3 linked regions of the Cricetulus griseus genome follow. The protein of the gene in region 2 interacts with the protein of the main gene of each other region in a biochemical or structural test. Links are inferred from orthologs where the notes say so. Each region holds a gene or a part of one and is shown on either strand. Other genes may lie near its edges.

The links. The genes of interacting proteins can lie anywhere in the genome.
Region 1: the proteins of Gtf2i (region 2) and Btk form a complex in vitro, tested with the Homo sapiens proteins (4 studies listed by BioGRID and IntAct, with this or other methods). The link is inferred for Cricetulus griseus from reciprocal best matches to the Homo sapiens genes GTF2I and BTK.
Region 3: the proteins of Gtf2i (region 2) and Usf1 form a complex in vitro, tested with the Homo sapiens proteins (2 studies listed by BioGRID). The link is inferred for Cricetulus griseus from reciprocal best matches to the Homo sapiens genes GTF2I and USF1.

What each region holds. Positions count from the first base shown.
Region 1 is NC_048604.1:45,524,987-45,531,085, reverse strand, and holds the start of Btk (tyrosine-protein kinase BTK), read right to left. Parts: upstream 3,594-6,099; coding exon 3,453-3,593; intron 2,561-3,452; coding exon 2,462-2,560; intron 1-2,461. UniProt on the Homo sapiens protein: Non-receptor tyrosine kinase indispensable for B lymphocyte development, differentiation and signaling. Binding of antigen to the B-cell antigen receptor (BCR) triggers signaling that ultimately leads to B-cell activation.
Region 2 is NC_048597.1:113,345,328-113,350,679, reverse strand, and holds part of Gtf2i (general transcription factor II-I), read left to right. Parts: intron 1-309; coding exon 310-384; intron 385-2,058; coding exon 2,059-2,160; intron 2,161-2,902; coding exon 2,903-2,968; intron 2,969-3,224; coding exon 3,225-3,408; intron 3,409-4,265; coding exon 4,266-4,321; intron 4,322-4,604; coding exon 4,605-4,685; intron 4,686-5,352. UniProt on the Homo sapiens protein: Interacts with the basal transcription machinery by coordinating the formation of a multiprotein complex at the C-FOS promoter, and linking specific signal responsive activator complexes.
Region 3 is NC_048598.1:21,482,212-21,488,138, reverse strand, and holds the start of Usf1 (upstream stimulatory factor 1), read left to right. Parts: upstream 1-2,334; 5' UTR 2,335-2,489; intron 2,490-3,113; exon of another isoform or gene 3,114-3,145; intron 3,146-3,185; exon of another isoform or gene 3,186-3,363; intron 3,364-5,927. Other genes in the region: Arhgap30 (rho GTPase-activating protein 30), read left to right, coding at 1-373.

The DNA.
Region 1 (6,099 bases), on a different chromosome or scaffold from region 2:
ACTCAAGTACCTTAAAAATGTTTGGGGCTGAAGATGGCTCAGCAGTCAAAAGCTCTTGTTAACCTTCAAAAGACTCAGATTTGGTTCCCAGTACCTACATGGAGGTTCACAATTGCCTGTAACTTCAGTTCCATAGGATCCTACACTAGATCTGATGCAGTGTTCTGGCCTCCACAGGCACCAGATACCAGGCATGTATGTGGTGCCATGCATGCAAACATTCACAAAATAATAACCTTAAAAAAATAAGGGTGGGGTGCTGAAGATATGACTCAGCAGTTAAGAACACTGGCTGCTTTTGCAGAGGACCCAGGTTTGATGCCTAACACCAACACGGCAACTTACAAGTCTGTAACTCCAGTTCCAGGGAATCTGCCTTCCCCCTTCTGGTCTCCTCAGGTACTGCACACACACATGGTACACAGACAAACATACAGCCAAAACACCCAAACACATAAAATAATAAAGTAGTTAAAAAAATAAGGTGGAGCTGGGCATTGATGGCACACACCTTTAATCCCAGCACTCAGGATGCAGAGGCAGGCAGATCTCTGTGAGTTCAAGACCAGCCTGGTCTACAAGAGCTAGTTCCAGGACAGCTTCCAAAGCCACAGAGAAACCCTGCCTAAAAAACAAACAAACAAAAAAAACAAAACAGAACAAAAAATAAGGTATAAAGGGCCAAATAACTGGCTCAGAGTGTAAAGGCACTTGTCACCAAGCCTGAATACCTGAGTTCACTCTCCAGGAACTCCGTAGTGGAAATTGATAGACAGATTACATATAGACAGACAGATAGATACATCAAAAGTTTAGCCAAGCATGCTGATGCACGCCTTTAATCCTAGCACTCAGGGGGCTCCATAGTCTCAAATAGACAGATAGATAATTAATTAAAACATTTTAAAGGGAAAAGAAGAAGGAGAGGGACAGAGAAAGACACTTACCTGACTTGGACCTCTGGCTTCCACATGCACACAAACAGGTTTACATACATTTACACACACTTATACATACATATACACACCCAGAAAATAAATAAATAAATCTAAAATGCCAACTCCCTCCCCCCAAAAATACAGGTAGCTTGCAAAGCAAGATATATAGTAGCATTGTATTCTAGTTATATAATATATAGGTGCATGTGTATCGCTAGTGGAGAAAACATATTTAAACCTGTATATACCAGAATGATAATTATTATTTAAATGAATAATGGGTTTATATATCTTTTTATCTTAGTTTTGTGATTTCTATATTTTTCCATTTTCTATCCTAGATATGCATAATCTTATAAACAGGAAAAATAAAATGACAAAAAAATCAATTCAGTAATCATCCGGTGCTATTCCTTGGAAACAGCCTGGGAATTCAGGAAGAATAAAGCTGACTTGTTATCACCAATTCATGGAAGACTGAAGACTTTTCGGGCTGGAAAGATGGCTCACTGGTTAAGAGTACATAACTATTCTCCCAGAGGATCCAAGCTTGGTCCCAAGAAGACACGTCCACTCACAACCACCTGAAATTCTAACTCAGGGATCTGACGCTGGCCTTTGTATACACACAATGCACACACTCAACACACACACACACACACACACACACACACACACACACACACACACACACACTGGCCTCTGTATACACACAATGCACACACTCAACTCACACACACAATTAAAAATAAAATATATTTTCAAAAAAAGCAAGCAAATTCTCTTTTGGCAAATTCTTTTTTAATCTCTCTCTCTCTCTCTTTCTGTCTGTCTGTCTGTCTGTCTGTCTGTCTGTTTGTCTGTCTGTACGTACTTATTTTCCAGAGCATGCCTGTGGGGGTCAGAGGATAGCTTCCAGTGTCAGTCCTCATCTTCCACCTTCTTTGAGACATGGTCACTTTTTCAGTCGTTGCATATGCCAGACTAATTGGACCTTGAGTTTCTAGAATTCTCCTGTCTCCACCTCCCATGTTGCCACAGGAGGGCTGAGATTTCAGGTGCGAATACACTCCTGGGTCTGGCTTTAGGTGGGTTCTGGGGATTCTTGCCTGGCAAGCACTTTACCACTGAACCATTGCCTAAATGACAAGCTTTTCTTTCTTTCTTTCTTTCTTTCTTCCTTCCTTTCTTTCTCTTTCTTACATTTTTGCTTTCTATGTGTTTCGTGTGTGTGTGTGTGTCCACACTCGTACCACAGTTCTCATGTGGAGGTAAGCAGACAATTTTCAGGAGTTGGTTCTCTCCTTCCACTGTGTGAGGTTCAAGGGATAGAACTCAAGTCATCAGACTTGCCAGCAATTTCCCTTACCCACTTGGCAATCTCACTGGCTCCTGATGAAGAGTTTCTAAAGAAACAAAACTGTTCTACAATGCACTACAACACCACCATTCTATTTGGAGTATTTGCAAGTTCCAAGCGCCTTACAAACTGCAGCTCCCCCTCTTTGACACTAGCTTCTTACCGGAATCTGTCTTTCTGGTGGAGGATTTTTTTCAGGAACTACTGTCTCAACGCAGGTGATCTTCTCAACATCTATTGAACCTTTCTTACTGCCTCTTCTCTGAAGGAAGGAGGAAGAAAACGCAGGAAGATTAAGAATGATCAAGCGTTCAGACGTTTACACACATTGTTATCTTATCATCCTCTGTGGTAGGTAGCTCACATATTCTAACAGATCCTGGTTTCTCTTTGTTTGGGGTCTCACTATGTAGCCCTGGCTGGCCTGGAACTCACTATGTAGACCCGAGTGCTGGCATTAGTGTGTGCCATTGTACCTGGCAAAACCTGTCATTTTTAAAGTAAAAAATAATCCAACATTTATCTAGTCTTTAAATACCAAATAGGAGGAAGATGACAAGGAAGAATAAATGATTATAGTCAATTTCGTCACAAGAAACAAAAAAGGCAGGCTGGGTGGTGGTGCCACACACCTTTAATCCCAGCACTGAAGGGCAGGGGTTCTCAGTAAGTTCGAGGGCAGCCTGGTCTACAAAGCAAGTTCCAGGACAGCCAGGACTGTTACACAGAGAAACCCTGTCTCAAAAAACAAAAACAAAAACAAAAACAAAAAACAAAACAACAACAAAAAAACCCACCACCACCACCAAAAAACCAAACCAAACAAAATGACAACAGGGAATAGAAATAAAAAAGGCAACTTTGAATCCTTGGATTGTATTCTCAAGAGGCATGTAAAGAGCTTTTACCAACCGCAAGATTCCATGGAAGACACTCTGAACAGCTTCTAACACTCTTGAATTTTTCCCTGGCTTGACTGCACCTACTCCCAGTCTAAGAAATATTTTTTAAGAGTTTGAAGTACTTAAGTCTATTTTATTTCTACCCCCACATACACCTCCCCTTCTACCATGGATGACCTATCTCATGTCTCACATATCTAAGATCCAATCCTTGAAATGGAGAAATCCAGACTTCACGTTTGGGAAACTTACCCCACGTTCAAAGTCATACTCATAGTAGGAAAGTTTTTGCACAGTCAAGAGAAATAGGCGCTTCTTAAAGTTTAAAGGTGAGGTTTTCTTTTTCTGTTGGGAGCGCTTCAGAAAGATGCTCTCCAGGATCACTGCAGCCATGGCTTCCTCTCTCCAGATCTCACCTGGGTGCTGTGGATAATGCAAGGTTTTGAGGATCTAGCATAGTCATCTCTAATCCCTCCTGGTTCTACCTCTGCCCTGCTACCTGTTTTAAATGAAACCCTCACGTGCAACACTAGCAAGGAAACATTTTTCCTGACCTCCTTCTTCCAAAGTCCCCAACTCTGTCAAATTTCAGAATCAGTGAATGCACACTGAACAAAGCCTGGCTTCTTACATAAGGGAACCAATGTTCTAGATAATCCACGACATATACTAGGTTGTTTAGCAATGTCTAGACACCACTCTAAACTACTTAACCTTTTTATGACACACGGCCAGAATCTGTAAATGGCAAAAATGTCTGTGAAACTCTTGACCCTGATATTCTCAGAAGGAATCATTCAGGTACCAGAATTTCACTAAGGCAGATACTGGACTTTCAGTTCCCAGTTTCCTGAACAATAAATGTAATTTTTTTCAAAAGCTGACCAATTCAGGTCTGTAGACAAAAGAACATTGGTGGGTTCACCTGTACTCATGAACACACAATAGCTGCCATTCGACTGATTTAGTTCATGCCTTACTGTCTGGGTTATAAAGGAGTGAAGCTTTGTTTCCAAGTTGAAAACCGTTTTACTACAGTATATTAGTGCTTCGGCTCTCGCTCCCATTACGGTTTCCACAGATGATTCCCTTTAGATGGCACCAGGTAAAAGTGATGTAACCTGCAGCCTTCCGTTTCCAGCACCCATACCATGGCTTGCACCCACCCGTAACTCCAGTTCTAGGATATTCGGCGCCTTCTTCTGACCTCCATGGACACCAGACATGCAAGTGGTACATGTTGCGATAAAGCTTGAAGGGAACCTTGCATGGGGGACCTTGGTGGATTCCATGGCAGGCAAGGGTGACCAGGCGGGAAGCAGGGGGAGGGTGGCAGGGGGACAGGGACGGACATGCTAGGCAGACAGAGCTTAAGTGAGAAGTTTTATTGGAAAGGGGAGGGAGGAGGAAGGAAAAAGAAAAGAGGTAAAGAGGCAGAGACACACAGAGAGGACAGAAACGAAGAGGGAGACAGGAAACGTCCTGCCTGCCCCAGGGGAACCGCGGGGAAGACAGCTGGAAAGAGAGAGCAGGGAGAGAAGAGCAGGGAGAGCTGGAAAAAGAGAACCGGAAAAGAGAGCATAAGTGGGCGGGGTCTTTCTTTTTAAAGGGGTCCTTTGCACCTGCATGCAGACTACGCAATCATGGAACCCTGGGCTGACCAGGGTACTGCCTGAGTGCATTCTGCCAGGTGACAGGCGCAGGACAGCATAATGCCTGAATCCTTACGCTGCACATATGTACACACAGGCAAACACTCATGATCATACAATAAAATTTTACAAATAAATTGTCTTTTTCTAAGAGAAAAGCATTGTAACTATGTTGCTTTTAAGGATGCTAGGTGTAAGCCGGGCATTGGTGGCGCACGCCTTTAATCCAGCACTCAGGAGGCAGAGGAGGGCAGATCTCTGTGAGTTCAAGATCAACCTGGTCTACAAGAGCTAGTTCCAGGACAACCTCCAAAAGCACAGAGAAACTCTATCTTGAAAAAACAAAAAAAGAAAGAAAAAAGAAAAGAAAGATGTGTATTCATATAGGAAGAACAATATGCTTAAATACTCTAGAAAATTTCATAAAACCATCAGAGTCTTTGGAACACAGAGGCTTGCATGATGGAGACTCAACCACTGAGGCACATTACTAGCCTCTTTTAAATTTTTATTATATTTTGGAGACAGTATCTCCCTGTGTATCTCATGCTGGCTTTCAACTCATGTGGTGGCCCAGACAGGCCTGTCCTGCTGCCTTAGCATCTAGAGCGCTATCTAGATTATAGGCATGCAGCACCAGGCATGGCTCACTAATGACTTCTTCAGATAGACAGACACACAGACAGACAGACACACACACACACCACATCAATCTACTTAAAGTTTGTGCACAATTTTACCAATTCTAAACTTTCATTAGAAACACAAGTGAAGGCTGGAGAGATGGCTCAGAGGTTAAGATCACTGACTGCTCTTCCAGAGGACTCGAGTTCAATTCCCAGCACCCACATGGCAGCTCACAACTGTCCAGTTCCAGGGGATCTGATACCTTCACATAAATGCACATAAAATAAAGTTAAATAAATTATTTTTTTAAAAAAAGAAACACAAGTGAAAGAGGACAGAGAGTAAAATGATTCATCAGATCTCCTCAGGGCTTTGTTGGAAGCAGGGGCTCTTTCCTTTTTCCTTGCAAGGAGTGTGGAGATGTATTTTCACTAAATCTTTTTGCTTTTGGTGGCACTGTGAAAACCAGATAAGTAAAATCAGCAGTTTACTTTTTCTCTGAAAAGCTGATTTTTTTTTCAGTAGGGAGAGAAAGGATGTTTTTTGTTTTGTTTTGCTTTTTGTTTTCTTTTGTTTTTTTTTTTTTTTATCCTGGTGCTTTCCCCAGTTATTCTTCTCTT
Region 2 (5,352 bases):
ATGTCACGTGGGTCATATTCCATTATCACCATGGCCTTTGGTTTATTTCTTTGCTTTTAAGCTGTTTTACTTAGTGGATCTCTTTGTCTGTGTTGTGTTTTCTTGCCATCTCGGATATTGGCATCCTCCTTCATCCCTGTCTCCACAGCTTGTTGGCATTCATGTGGAGGGTTACACTGCCGTTTAATGCATCGGGTTTCTTTGAAAAGAGCCAAACTGTATGATTGTGTTTAATTCTCTGCTTTTGCAAAGCACCCTCTGTGGTTTTTCATGCAGCTTGCAAAGGTAATCTTGCACTTTGCCTTACAGCATTGCAGTCCCCAAAACGACCACGAAGCCCTGGGAGCAACTCCAAGGTTCCTGAGATTGAAGTCACGGTGGAAGGTGAGCCGTCCCACACTTTTCTCTTGATTCTTTACCTTACAGTTGTGTGGACTCAGTAACTCTGCTGCCTTTGAGGTTTTGTCTGAAAAACAACTGATGCTAAATTTATTAATTTTTTCTTTTTAATTGTTTTTCAAGACAGAGTTTCTCTGTGTAACAACCTTGTCTGTCCTGGGACTCGCTTGGTAGACCAGGCTGGCTTCAAACTCACTGAGATTCACCTACCTCTGCCTCCCAAGTGCTGGGACTAAAGGCTTGAACCACCACCACCCAGCGAATATTTTGCTTTTTAATGCATGAGTATGTATGTGTGCTCTCGAGTGTGTGTGCATGCGTGTGTGGGCGTTCATTGTTACAGGCTATCTCAGGTGTCACCCTCAGGAACACTGTCCATGTGCTTTGAGATAGGTCCCCTTTTTGGACCTTGACCTAGCTGGGTAGTCTAGACTGGCTGCTCTTGAGCCCCAGGGATCCATGTAGCTAGGGATCAAACTTTGGTGACTCAGCTACCTCCCTGGCATAATTTATGACTGTTTGTAATCTGAGGGTCCTGTGAGGGTTACTTGAGGGGAACCCCTTGGATTGTTTATCCATAGTCAGGCAGACCAAGCCCAGAGAGATGTTTCTCATCTTTTTCCTGGTGGTTTTTCCTACTTTTGATGAAATGCATTTATAGGTGGTTTGAATAACAGTGTGCTTGTTCAGAGCAGCTCTGTGTCTTCACATATATTCTCTTCCGGCCTCTGGTGTAGGCCTGTGAACTTTGGAAGCTCATTGTCTAAAACGGCTGACATAGTAACAGGCAGCCCTGAACCCTGGAACTGCTAGGCACATTGTTTTCATCGACGCAGAAGGAAGCAACTGCCTAGGGGACAGTTGATTCTTTTTGATCCTCACTTTCTGTATCCTCTCAGTTGTCCCCACTTAGTTGTCTTGCATACTTGCACAGAGCCCTTTTTCTCAAAGAAAAGGGAATCATGTTAAGTGATTAGTAAATAATGCATCCTAGCTACCAGAGTAAACAGCCCTGAGGAGCAGTGGCCCACAGGGAAGCAGTCTTCCTTGCTGCTTTTACAGAAGATCTGAGAAGGGTGACTTGTCCCCAGGACTCTGGCCCTTCCTTCCTTGTAAAGTGCAGGTGATGTTCCTTTTAGTCAAAACACTTCAACAAGAAGCCAAGTCAAACCCGGGCTGAGCCCAGGTGACCTGAGAAACATCAGCAGTGAGGGATGAACGGACGCTACGTCAGCCTGAGGTTTCATCCTAAGGTTCTGGTTCACAAAGGAGATGACACTGCCTTTGGTCTACTTGAGGCAGGGACAGAGGATGCTCTTTCCTGGACGGCAGGCATGGGAAGAGAGGGGAAGAGAGTGTTGATCATGCAAAGCCGTAGCCTGGTTGTACATTTTGTTCCTGTTTGTGCTGGATCTCAGGTGCATTTTGACATCTGTTGCCAGTTTCCTAGGGAAAGCTGAGTTGCTGAGTTTAGAATCAGAATGGGTAGGGGGTATGAGGGAGAGGAGAGGAAGGGAGGGAGAGAGAGAGAGAGAGAGAGAGAGAGAGAGAGAGAGAGAGAGAGAGAGAGAGAGAGCGCTGTATTTTCTGGTACATGGTACATGCTAACCACAGATGAGCACACCTGGTAACTGTGGTTCGCCTTTGAATTTTCTCTAGGCCCCAACAACAACAGTCCGCAAACCTCCACCGTTCGAACTCCTACCCAGACCAATGGTTCAAATGTTCCCTTCAAGCCTCGAGGGAGAGAGTTTTCCTTTGGTAAATACATCTCTTATTTTTCTTGATTTCAGCATTTCACATAAAAAGAATTAGTGTGGTGTGTCAGCAGGACAGTGGTTTTTCTTGGGTGAGTCAGTGTGTGTCAGGTACTGACATGCAGCAAGAGCCAGGTTGCCTGTGCTATGGTGTGAGTCTTCCTATAGGCCGTGAGCGAAGTGTGTACCCCAGGGGTGCCTGAGGATTGTAAGTTGGGTTACTGCATGTACCCAGAGCTAGAGCTGGCGTGTGGTAGACACTGTAACAGGTTCTTTTGTTCTTCATTTCAGCGTGGGTCACAGTGTTGGTAACCCAGTCTAACAGTTTAGTTTAGTTATATGAGGATTGGAAGGACAAGCACAGCAGCCGTATTAAGAACCTGCATGTTTCTTATATAAAGACGTAGAATCATGTATGTATACATGATGTGAATGGAGTAACACTGTCTACGGGACACGGATGCACTAGCGGGCAAGGGAGAGAGCATGCGCAGCGCACAGATTCTGTCACACAGTGACACGGTGCACATGAAGGGAACAACCTGCTGTGTGTTCTCCTGTGCTCTGTAAAGCTGCAAAATAGATGAAATATGAAGCCAGGGCATTGGCGTGCTCCTTTAGTCCCAGCACACGGGAGGCAGATAGAGTGACCGAAGAAACTATTCAGTCAATGAAACGCTAATGTGAAAATCCCTGCCCTCCCCGGGGGACCCTTGCTGACGGCGGCTGCTGCTCTCTACTCGCAGAGGCCTGGAACGCCAAAATCACAGACCTGAAGCAGAAAGTGGAAAACCTCTTCAATGAAAAATGCGGTAGGTTTGTTCAGAAGCATTGAATATGAAGTGGTTCTCTAATAGAATTGGTCTAATTTGATATTTAAATGTTTTTGGAAATGTGTGGGTTTCAGCTTTCCATTTCTACCCATTCTACTATCAAGAATTCTAAGAATATTTTACAAAATTAAAATGAATATGATTTTTCAAATAAATAAGGATTTGTAGCTGCTGCAGAGTGTTGCAAATGGCTGTTCTAAGTCGTGCTATGGAATGAGAGTGTCCTGTGTTACAGGGGAAGCTCTTGGCCTTAAACAGGCCGTGAAAGTGCCATTTGCATTGTTCGAGTCCTTCCCGGAAGACTTCTATGTAGAAGGCTTACCTGAGGGGGTGCCCTTCCGGCGACCATCCACATTTGGCATTCCAAGGCTGGAGAAGATCCTCCGGAACAAGGCCAAGATAAAGTTCATCATTAAAAAGTGAGGACCGGGGCTGGAGAGATGGCTCAGAGCACCGGTTGTTCTTCCAGAGGTCCTGAGTTCAATTCCCAGCAACTACATGGTGGCTCACAACCATCTGTAATGAGATCTGGTTCCCTCTTCTGGTGTGCAGATTTACATGGAAGCATACATAATAAATAAATAAAGTCTTTAAAAAAAAAATAGTGAGGACCTTCAGTTTGAGAAGATGTCCAAGGGCTGGCTTCACAGTGCGGTGCTCTGTCAAAGAGCTAAGTTCTTATAGGATGGAGAGACAACCCAGTGGTTAAGAGTGCTTCCTGCACAGCTTTGAGAACCTGAATTCAGATGCCAACTCCCTCATAACAAGCTGGGGGTAGCCTGGGACCATAGTGCTGGGGGTTGGGCAGAGGCTGGAGGGTCGTTGGGGCCCGCTGCCTGGGGTGGGAATGTGAGCCGTGGGTTCTGGGAGAGATCCTCTGTGAAAGAAATAAGAGGAATAGAGGACACCTGAAGCCCTCCTCTGGCTTGTGCATGCAGCACACGTGTGTACATGCAGCACAGGCCCTTTTATTTGTTTGGAGGCAGGGTGTTACTTGCATACACACTCTTCATGCATGTACCCAGGCTGCAGGCTTCTGCTCTTGGGTCTCATACTGATTCTCAGTATGTGCTCTGCCCTTGGGAAGAAAATGGCAGTGACATCAGGGTGGCCAGAGAGGGTCCAACAGCCGTAGATGCTGGTGTGATTGGTCTGCTTGGGCCCAGGTTGCTTCCAAGTGTGGCACATGATTTGCAGAGCTGCAGGCTCCAGCGATTCTTCCCTGTGTGCCTTGCTCTGAGTTAACCAGCCCATGCCCTTTTCCTCTTGATTGTAGACCTGAGATGTTCGAGACGGCCATCAAAGAGAGCACCTCTTCCAAAAGCCCTCCAAGTGAGTGTCCTTTGCAAGCAGTACCGTGACAGCGTGGCTCTTGGGCAGTCATCGGTTCTAGAGCAGCAAACACTGTGCAGTGTTGCTCTGCAGAAAGATGGGCTGTCAGAAAGTCTGCCATCTTTAGTGTCTTACTGGAATACATCCAGCATATAAGTACCTGCCCTACGGGGCCAGGCTGAGGCCAGCTCATTGCTGACGAAGCATGCGGCTGTGGGCTATTAGAGAAAATTTTGACTATGTATGTTTTGCCTAAACCCTAATCTTTCATTTTTGCTTACAGGGAAGATAAACTCATCACCCAGCGTTAATACTACTGCATCAGGTGTGGAAGACCTTAACATCATTCAGGTGACAATTCCAGGTATGATTTCTGCCTGCATCATGTAATCTTTTGGACTCCAGATTCCTTCAGGGACAGCTCACGTAGTACAGTGTGTTGTGTGCTTTGACCAAACCATCCCTCCATCAACCTGGCTGCACAGGGTCTGACCTAAATTCAGCCCTTCTCATTACTTCATGTCTCAGTTCTTCAAAAAGTCTCTGTGGAGGCTGGAGAGATGGCTCAGTGGTTAAGAGCACTGGCTGTTCCTGAAGACTCGGGTTTGATTCCCAGTACCTGCATGATGGCTCACAACCATTTATAACTACACTCCCATGGGACCTTACAACTCTACTGACCACCTTGGGCATTGGGCACACACATGTTGCATGGGCCAAACACCCATGCATATAAAAGAAATCTTTAAAGAATAAAATATTCTTTTAGCCAGGCGGTGCTGGCACACACCTTTAATTTTAATCTCTGAGTTTGAGGACAGCCAGGGCCACATAGGGAAATCCTGTCCTGAAAAACCAAAATAAGTAAATAAGATTCCTTTAATAAACAGCCTTTATGAAACAGCAAAGATGTTTGCTTAACAGGAATGGAGTTGGATCCTCTTAAGTTGGTTTTAGAACATTTTTTATTTTTCCCTTTTTTAAATTTTATGGTTATTTTTGTCTTGGTGATGTCATAATGTGGAAATACC
Region 3 (5,927 bases), on a different chromosome or scaffold from region 2:
TCCTGGAGAAAGGGCTTGGGGGTCTCGTGCTTCTTGGAGGAATGGGGGTAGTCTTTCCTTTGATGCTGCTGTGGCCCTGGCCCGGGAACGCCAGAGGACTGAGGCTCAGGGAATTCGGCGGACCCAGACTTGTACTGGGGGTGGTGATTATAGCCTCAACTCTAGAACCTCTCCTTGTAGCATGACTCCTGCCCATTCTTCCCGGCCCCTTAGCTGTCTGGAACTCCCACCTGAAGGCACAGAAGGGTCTGAGCCCAGGGGTCGGTTTAGTTTGCCACCTAGAGAACTTCAGCTTCCTGTCCCTCTTATGTCCCCTCAGCGTCAGACATATGCATTTGAAACACAGACTAACCGTGGGAAAGAAGGGCTGTGATTAGGATGGGACAAGAGGGACCAGAAAATTATCATCAATCTCTGGAACCCCTGCCTAGCTGTCTTTACACCCTCAGTAGCTGCAATGCCCCATTCCAAAGGCTTGGGTCCTCCAGCTATCTGTTTTGACCATGGAGGCACTGCCTTGGTGGGTTCACCTTGAGTTTCTGTTAGACACAAAGCACTTATCTCTTAGCAGAGTCTTAAGAAATATAGGAAGGCCTTGTTACTCATGAAGTTGTGATTATTAACGAAACATACGGTAGGTAGAAACTTATTTTTTTCTTAAATTTAAATACATAGGGGGAATTCCAGCCAAACTCCTGCCCTCTTCTGAGGCTGTGAACTTCTCTTCATAGAAGCCTAGGGTAGATATGGAGAATACAGGGCTAGATACAGAGTTGCTCACCCCTGATTTGCTCCCAGATCCTTGGCTGTCTCCTGACCCTTTTAGCTCCATTAGGAGAAACATGTCCAAGAAGCTCTGTGAAGGCCTCAGTATTCACTGGAGGAAATGGATGACATCCTCTGCCTTCACTTATTTGCAGAAGAGGTCCTGTACAGACCTCTCTGGTCTTTCTTTTTCCCATTAGAATAACCACCTCCTCCCATTTCAGAAAAGAGGATGTGTGGTCATCACTCTGGTCCTGGCACTGCTTCTCTGCACAGGTGGGGGCTATAGGCCCCATTTAGCAATGATAGCTGTTTGATAATAAAAGTTGATTGTTTTTACACTTAAATAAGTGTATGAACTTACTCTTATTAAAGTCTTGGGGGGAAAGGTATCACATTTGAATGCTGCCGAAATGTATATATCTTGTTTAGAGTTTCTTCCTCAGTTGTCACGGAAACCTGTAGTTAGAAAGTAGAACTGGGCTTGTGGTGGTCAAGAAATGGGGAAGAGAAACCTGTATTTACATAATGTTCATCCAATGCCAGGAATTGGGGTGTTCATAAAGACTTTGCCCTTGAATTTATTTAATCCACTTATTTTGGTGAAGTTGGTATTAGTATTTCCATTTTACAGATGAGGAAACTAAGCTGTAATTAAGTGAAAATGCTTATCAAAGATCTCAGAATTAGGAAGTGACAGTTTCCGGTGCTTGGTGGCACATGTCCTTTAATCCTAGCACTCAGGAGGTAGAGGCTGTATCGGGTGTGTGTGTGTGTAATTTGTGTGTGTGTTGGGGGGGGGCAAATCTACGTGACTTCCGGGACAGCCTGATCTACATAAGATAGTTAAGAACCACACCACGCCGGGCGGTGGTGGCACACGCCTTTAATCCCAGCACTCGGGAGGCAGAGGCAGGCGGATCTCTGTGAGTTCGAGACCAGTCTGGTCTACAAGAGCTAGTTCCAGAACAGCCTCCAAAGCCACAGAGAAACCCTGTCTTGAAAAAAAAAAAAAAGAAAGAAAAGAAAGAAAACCACACCACATAGTGATCCTGTCTCAAGAAAAGTGTCAGCTGTGGATTTGAGATCAGGGTCTGATGAATTCTAGCTATTTATACTTCACTATTCCAAAACCATTAAAAAATGGTAATCAAAAATGTCACATATGAGCCTCAGAAAAACTGGAAGACATGAGGTCTGACGCTAGTACAAAGGCATAAATAAACCCAGATCTACATATGTCCAGAGATGTCCCAGTGTCCACCTGGAAACCCCTCAAAATGATGCCCTGATCCAAGATGGCTTCCCAAATTGCCCTTGTTAAAGATGGCCCCTACTTCCTTTTAGCGGAACTAAAAAGGCTCCGCCTAGCACCAAGATGGAAGTAAAATTTAGTCGTTTGTTTGTTGTCGTTGTTGTTGTTTCTGGTTCTTGCTGCAAACAGCTAGAACTCCAGCGACGTCCGCGAGGACAGCGCTTCTCTTGGGGGCCTCTAAAAACTCACAAACCCACGTCGGCTTTAGCGCGCATCCCAGTCTGGAGCGAACGGAAATGGGGCGGTTCCGGGGCGGTCGGTAGGCAGGGCGGGTCGAGGAGACACTTCCGCCCCTCACCAACATGGCCGCAGGCCGCGATTGCGCATGAGCAGCTGTCTATGGAGAGACCTAGATCCAAAGAGGGAGAACGCTGCCGGGGGAAATCGGCGACTGGAGCGGCCCGGGTCGGTGAGTGCGTCGGAGCCAGACGGAGCCTGGGGACGAGGTGGAGCGGCGAGGCGGGGCAGCTTGGCCTTGCTTCATTTCCCCCGGGCAGGCAGCGCCGGGGCTCGAAGCCTTTGTTTTGGGGGAGGGGGCCGTGCCTGGCTCTTTATCTCCTGCCCTGCTTTGTGGGCCGAGCTCGCTCCCCGGCCGGGAGTGCACACGTCCCGCCCTCCCGTGGTGTCCCGCCGCGGGCCGCAGCTGCCAGCCGCAGGCCTGGGGGGGGACCCCGGCGTCCTTCCCTGTCTCCTTTGCGGAGCAGCTGGGGCGCGGGGCGAGCCGGGCGAGCCGGGCGAGCGGGGCGAGCGGGGCTGGGCCGACGGGGTCACCGCGTGGGCTTCGGGGCTCGCGCCTGACGGGTGGTGCTCAGCTCCCCGAGCGCCTCCCGCTAGTTGGTGGGCCTGCAGGGAGACGCCTCGTTCTCAGGCAAGGTCCTGGCGCCTGGATTCTTTCAGAACTTGATCTTTTTATTTTTTTTGCTTTTGCTTTTGCGTCTGTGCTTGACGAGGGCGTTTGCTTGGCCCTCCTTTTGAGCGTGCAAACCACAACATCCTATGCTGATTTCCGTGTCACATATTCTTAAATGCTCAGGAAACGCTTCCGGATGTATAACCAAGATTTGAGTAAGTAGCCTACCGCCGTTGCTGGGTGGCCTGCGAAGTTGCTCTGACAGCTGTGGGCTATACAGTTGCTTCCTGTGCGTTGCCTTCTCTTCATTGCCTGCTTCTGCAGGCCATGCAACAAGCTTCGGAGGGGCTCTTCCTCCTGGCCTTTGAGGATAGAGACCTAGGTGGTCCCTAGACACTGGTGCTTGCCTCCCTTTGCAACGTTACTTTGGACGGTCAGTTTCACTTTCAGTTCCTTTTTGTTGTTATTTTTGTTACCATTTTCTTTGCTCTCGGGCTTTCCAAGGCTTATTATCCGCTAAACTAAGATTTTCTTTGGATTAGAAAGGTTTGGAGGATTTTATGGGTGGAAAACTTACAAAAATCTTGTCCTTTCTTGTTGAGAATATTTTATTGCTTTGTACTGTGCAGCTGTTTCTTTCTGGAGGCATCTGTCTGCTCAGTTCTTTGTTTTTCTGTTCTCTGGCGGGGTGTCAAGAGTCCTAAGGCAGAAACATTGTAGATGGATTCCTCCCCCATTGTCTTTTCTCCTTCAGAACCCCGAGCCTGGATTTTTTCCCCCTTCCTCCTGAGGCTTAGTTGATTTGGAGTTGTCATGGCAACATTTTAGCAACTGTGTTTCTCTACAGGAAGCCTTGATGAATAAAATAGAGGAGCCTTGAATATGATGCACTTGGGCTTTAGAGTTTGTAACAGATGCTGTAAATCTGAACTCCCCCAAAACAAGATCCCTGACAGTAGAATCATACCCAAGAGCCAAATCTAGGTTTTGTGGTTAGTGATGGTTTTCCAGTGGCAAAAAGAGGGTTCCAGTTTTTCCCTTTTGAGATTGAGGACTGGAATTTCTTTTTTGTTGTTATTGTTTTGTTTTATTTTGAGACAGGATCTCTCTGTATATACCCCTGGCTGTCTTAGAACTCAGTATATAGACCAGGCTGGCCTGGAATTCAGAGATCCACCTGTCTCTGCCTTCCGAGTGCTGGGACTAAAGGACCAAAATGCCTGGTGAGGACTAAAATTTCTTTCTTTGGTTTTTCAAGACAAGGTTTCTCTGTGTAGTCCTGGCTGTCCTGGAACTCACTCTGTAGACCAGGCTGGCCTTTAACTCAGAGATCTGCCTGCCTCTTGCCCCTGTCTCTGCCACCACCGCCCTGCTTAGAATTTCTTATTGTACAGTTTGTGTCTAAGAAGGGCACCATGGTGGGTGTTATTTGGTAGTGGTGGCCTAAACATGACCCTAACTATTCCTATGAAACTATAGTAGCTTTAGTAATACTCTATAATTGCTTCAATAATGCACCTTGAAACATACTATTTCTCGGCCTTCTAGTATAATTATCTCCTACCCCTCGGAGGTGGAATGAATATGGAGGAGCCGCCAGGCGGTGGCAGTGCTAGCCTTTAATCCCAACACTCAGGGAGGCAGAGGCAGGCAGGATCTCTGTTGGAGGCCAGCCTGGTCTACAAGTGAGTTCCAGGACATCCAGAGCTACACAGAGACACCCAGTTGAAACTAAAACCAACCAACCAACCAATAGATAAATAAATAAGGAGTAAAGAACATTATTTAAAAAGTTGCTTTTTAAAAATGTTATAGCCGGGTGTTGGTGGCTCACTCCTTTAATCGCAGCACTCAGGGAGGCAGAGGCAGGTGAATCTCTATGAGTTTGAGACCAGCCTGGTCTACAGGGCGAGTCAGAAATTTAACATTAGTTATGACAATTCGGCCTTATCTTATGCTTGTTTTTATTTTCTTTTTATTTATCCTATGTATCTTTTTACATCAAGTATTTTGATCCCATTCATTTCCCTGCCCCCTTCAAATCCATTTTGCACCCCTCCCCAAATAATATAAAATTTCAGAGAAAAAAGGGGGGAGGAATAATTTAAAATCTCATCAAGGAAGCTGAGGTGTGACATAGTGAGTCACACAGCATACCCCCTTTTTTTGTCCATATCTCTTTACTTGCAAGTGTTCATTGCAAAGAATCATTGGTCTGGTTTGAGGCCTCTGCTTTCTGCTACACTATTAATGCTGGGCCCTCACTGGAACTCCTCTTGGTTGTCCTGTTGCCCTGTGTTGTGGGTATCCTGAAGCTTTGGGTCTGAGGGTCAGGTCTTCATATGCTCCAGCAGATCATGGGTGGAGTGGGGCTATGCCGTTTCTTTCTAGCTCTTATAACTTATTAACCTGTTTCTCTTCATCTACGTTTTGCCTTGGGGCTTTTTACCTTTCTTTCATTCTATATATCTTACTTTCCTGTTTCCTCTGTCTGTCTGGCAGTGCCTGACTTCTGGCCCTGGGCTGTCCCCCTCTTACTCCCTTGTTCTCTTTTCTCCAAGCCTAGATCCTCTTACTTATTTTATCTGCCTGAAGCCCTGCCTATCCTTCTATTGTCTAGCTATTGGCTGTTCAGCTTTTTATTATACCAATCAGGTGTCTTAGGAAGGCAAGATGAAACAGCAACGCATCTTTACATGGTTTAACAAATGCAGCACATTCTTACAGAATTAGACAAGTGCAACATAAGCAAATGGAACACATCTTTGCCTAGTTACAATAATATTCCACATCACGTGCCCTGTAGTCCATGTTGGCCTTGAACTCAGAGAATTCCTGCCTGCCTTTATCTCCCCAGTGCTGGGATTAAAGGCGTGCACTACTACTGCCCAGTTTTCTGAGCCATCTTAATAGCCTGATTTTTCTTTTTTGTTTGAGGACAGCCTTGGTGTGTCAGTCCTTGCCTTTCCACCTTGTTGGAGACAGTCTTCATTGCTG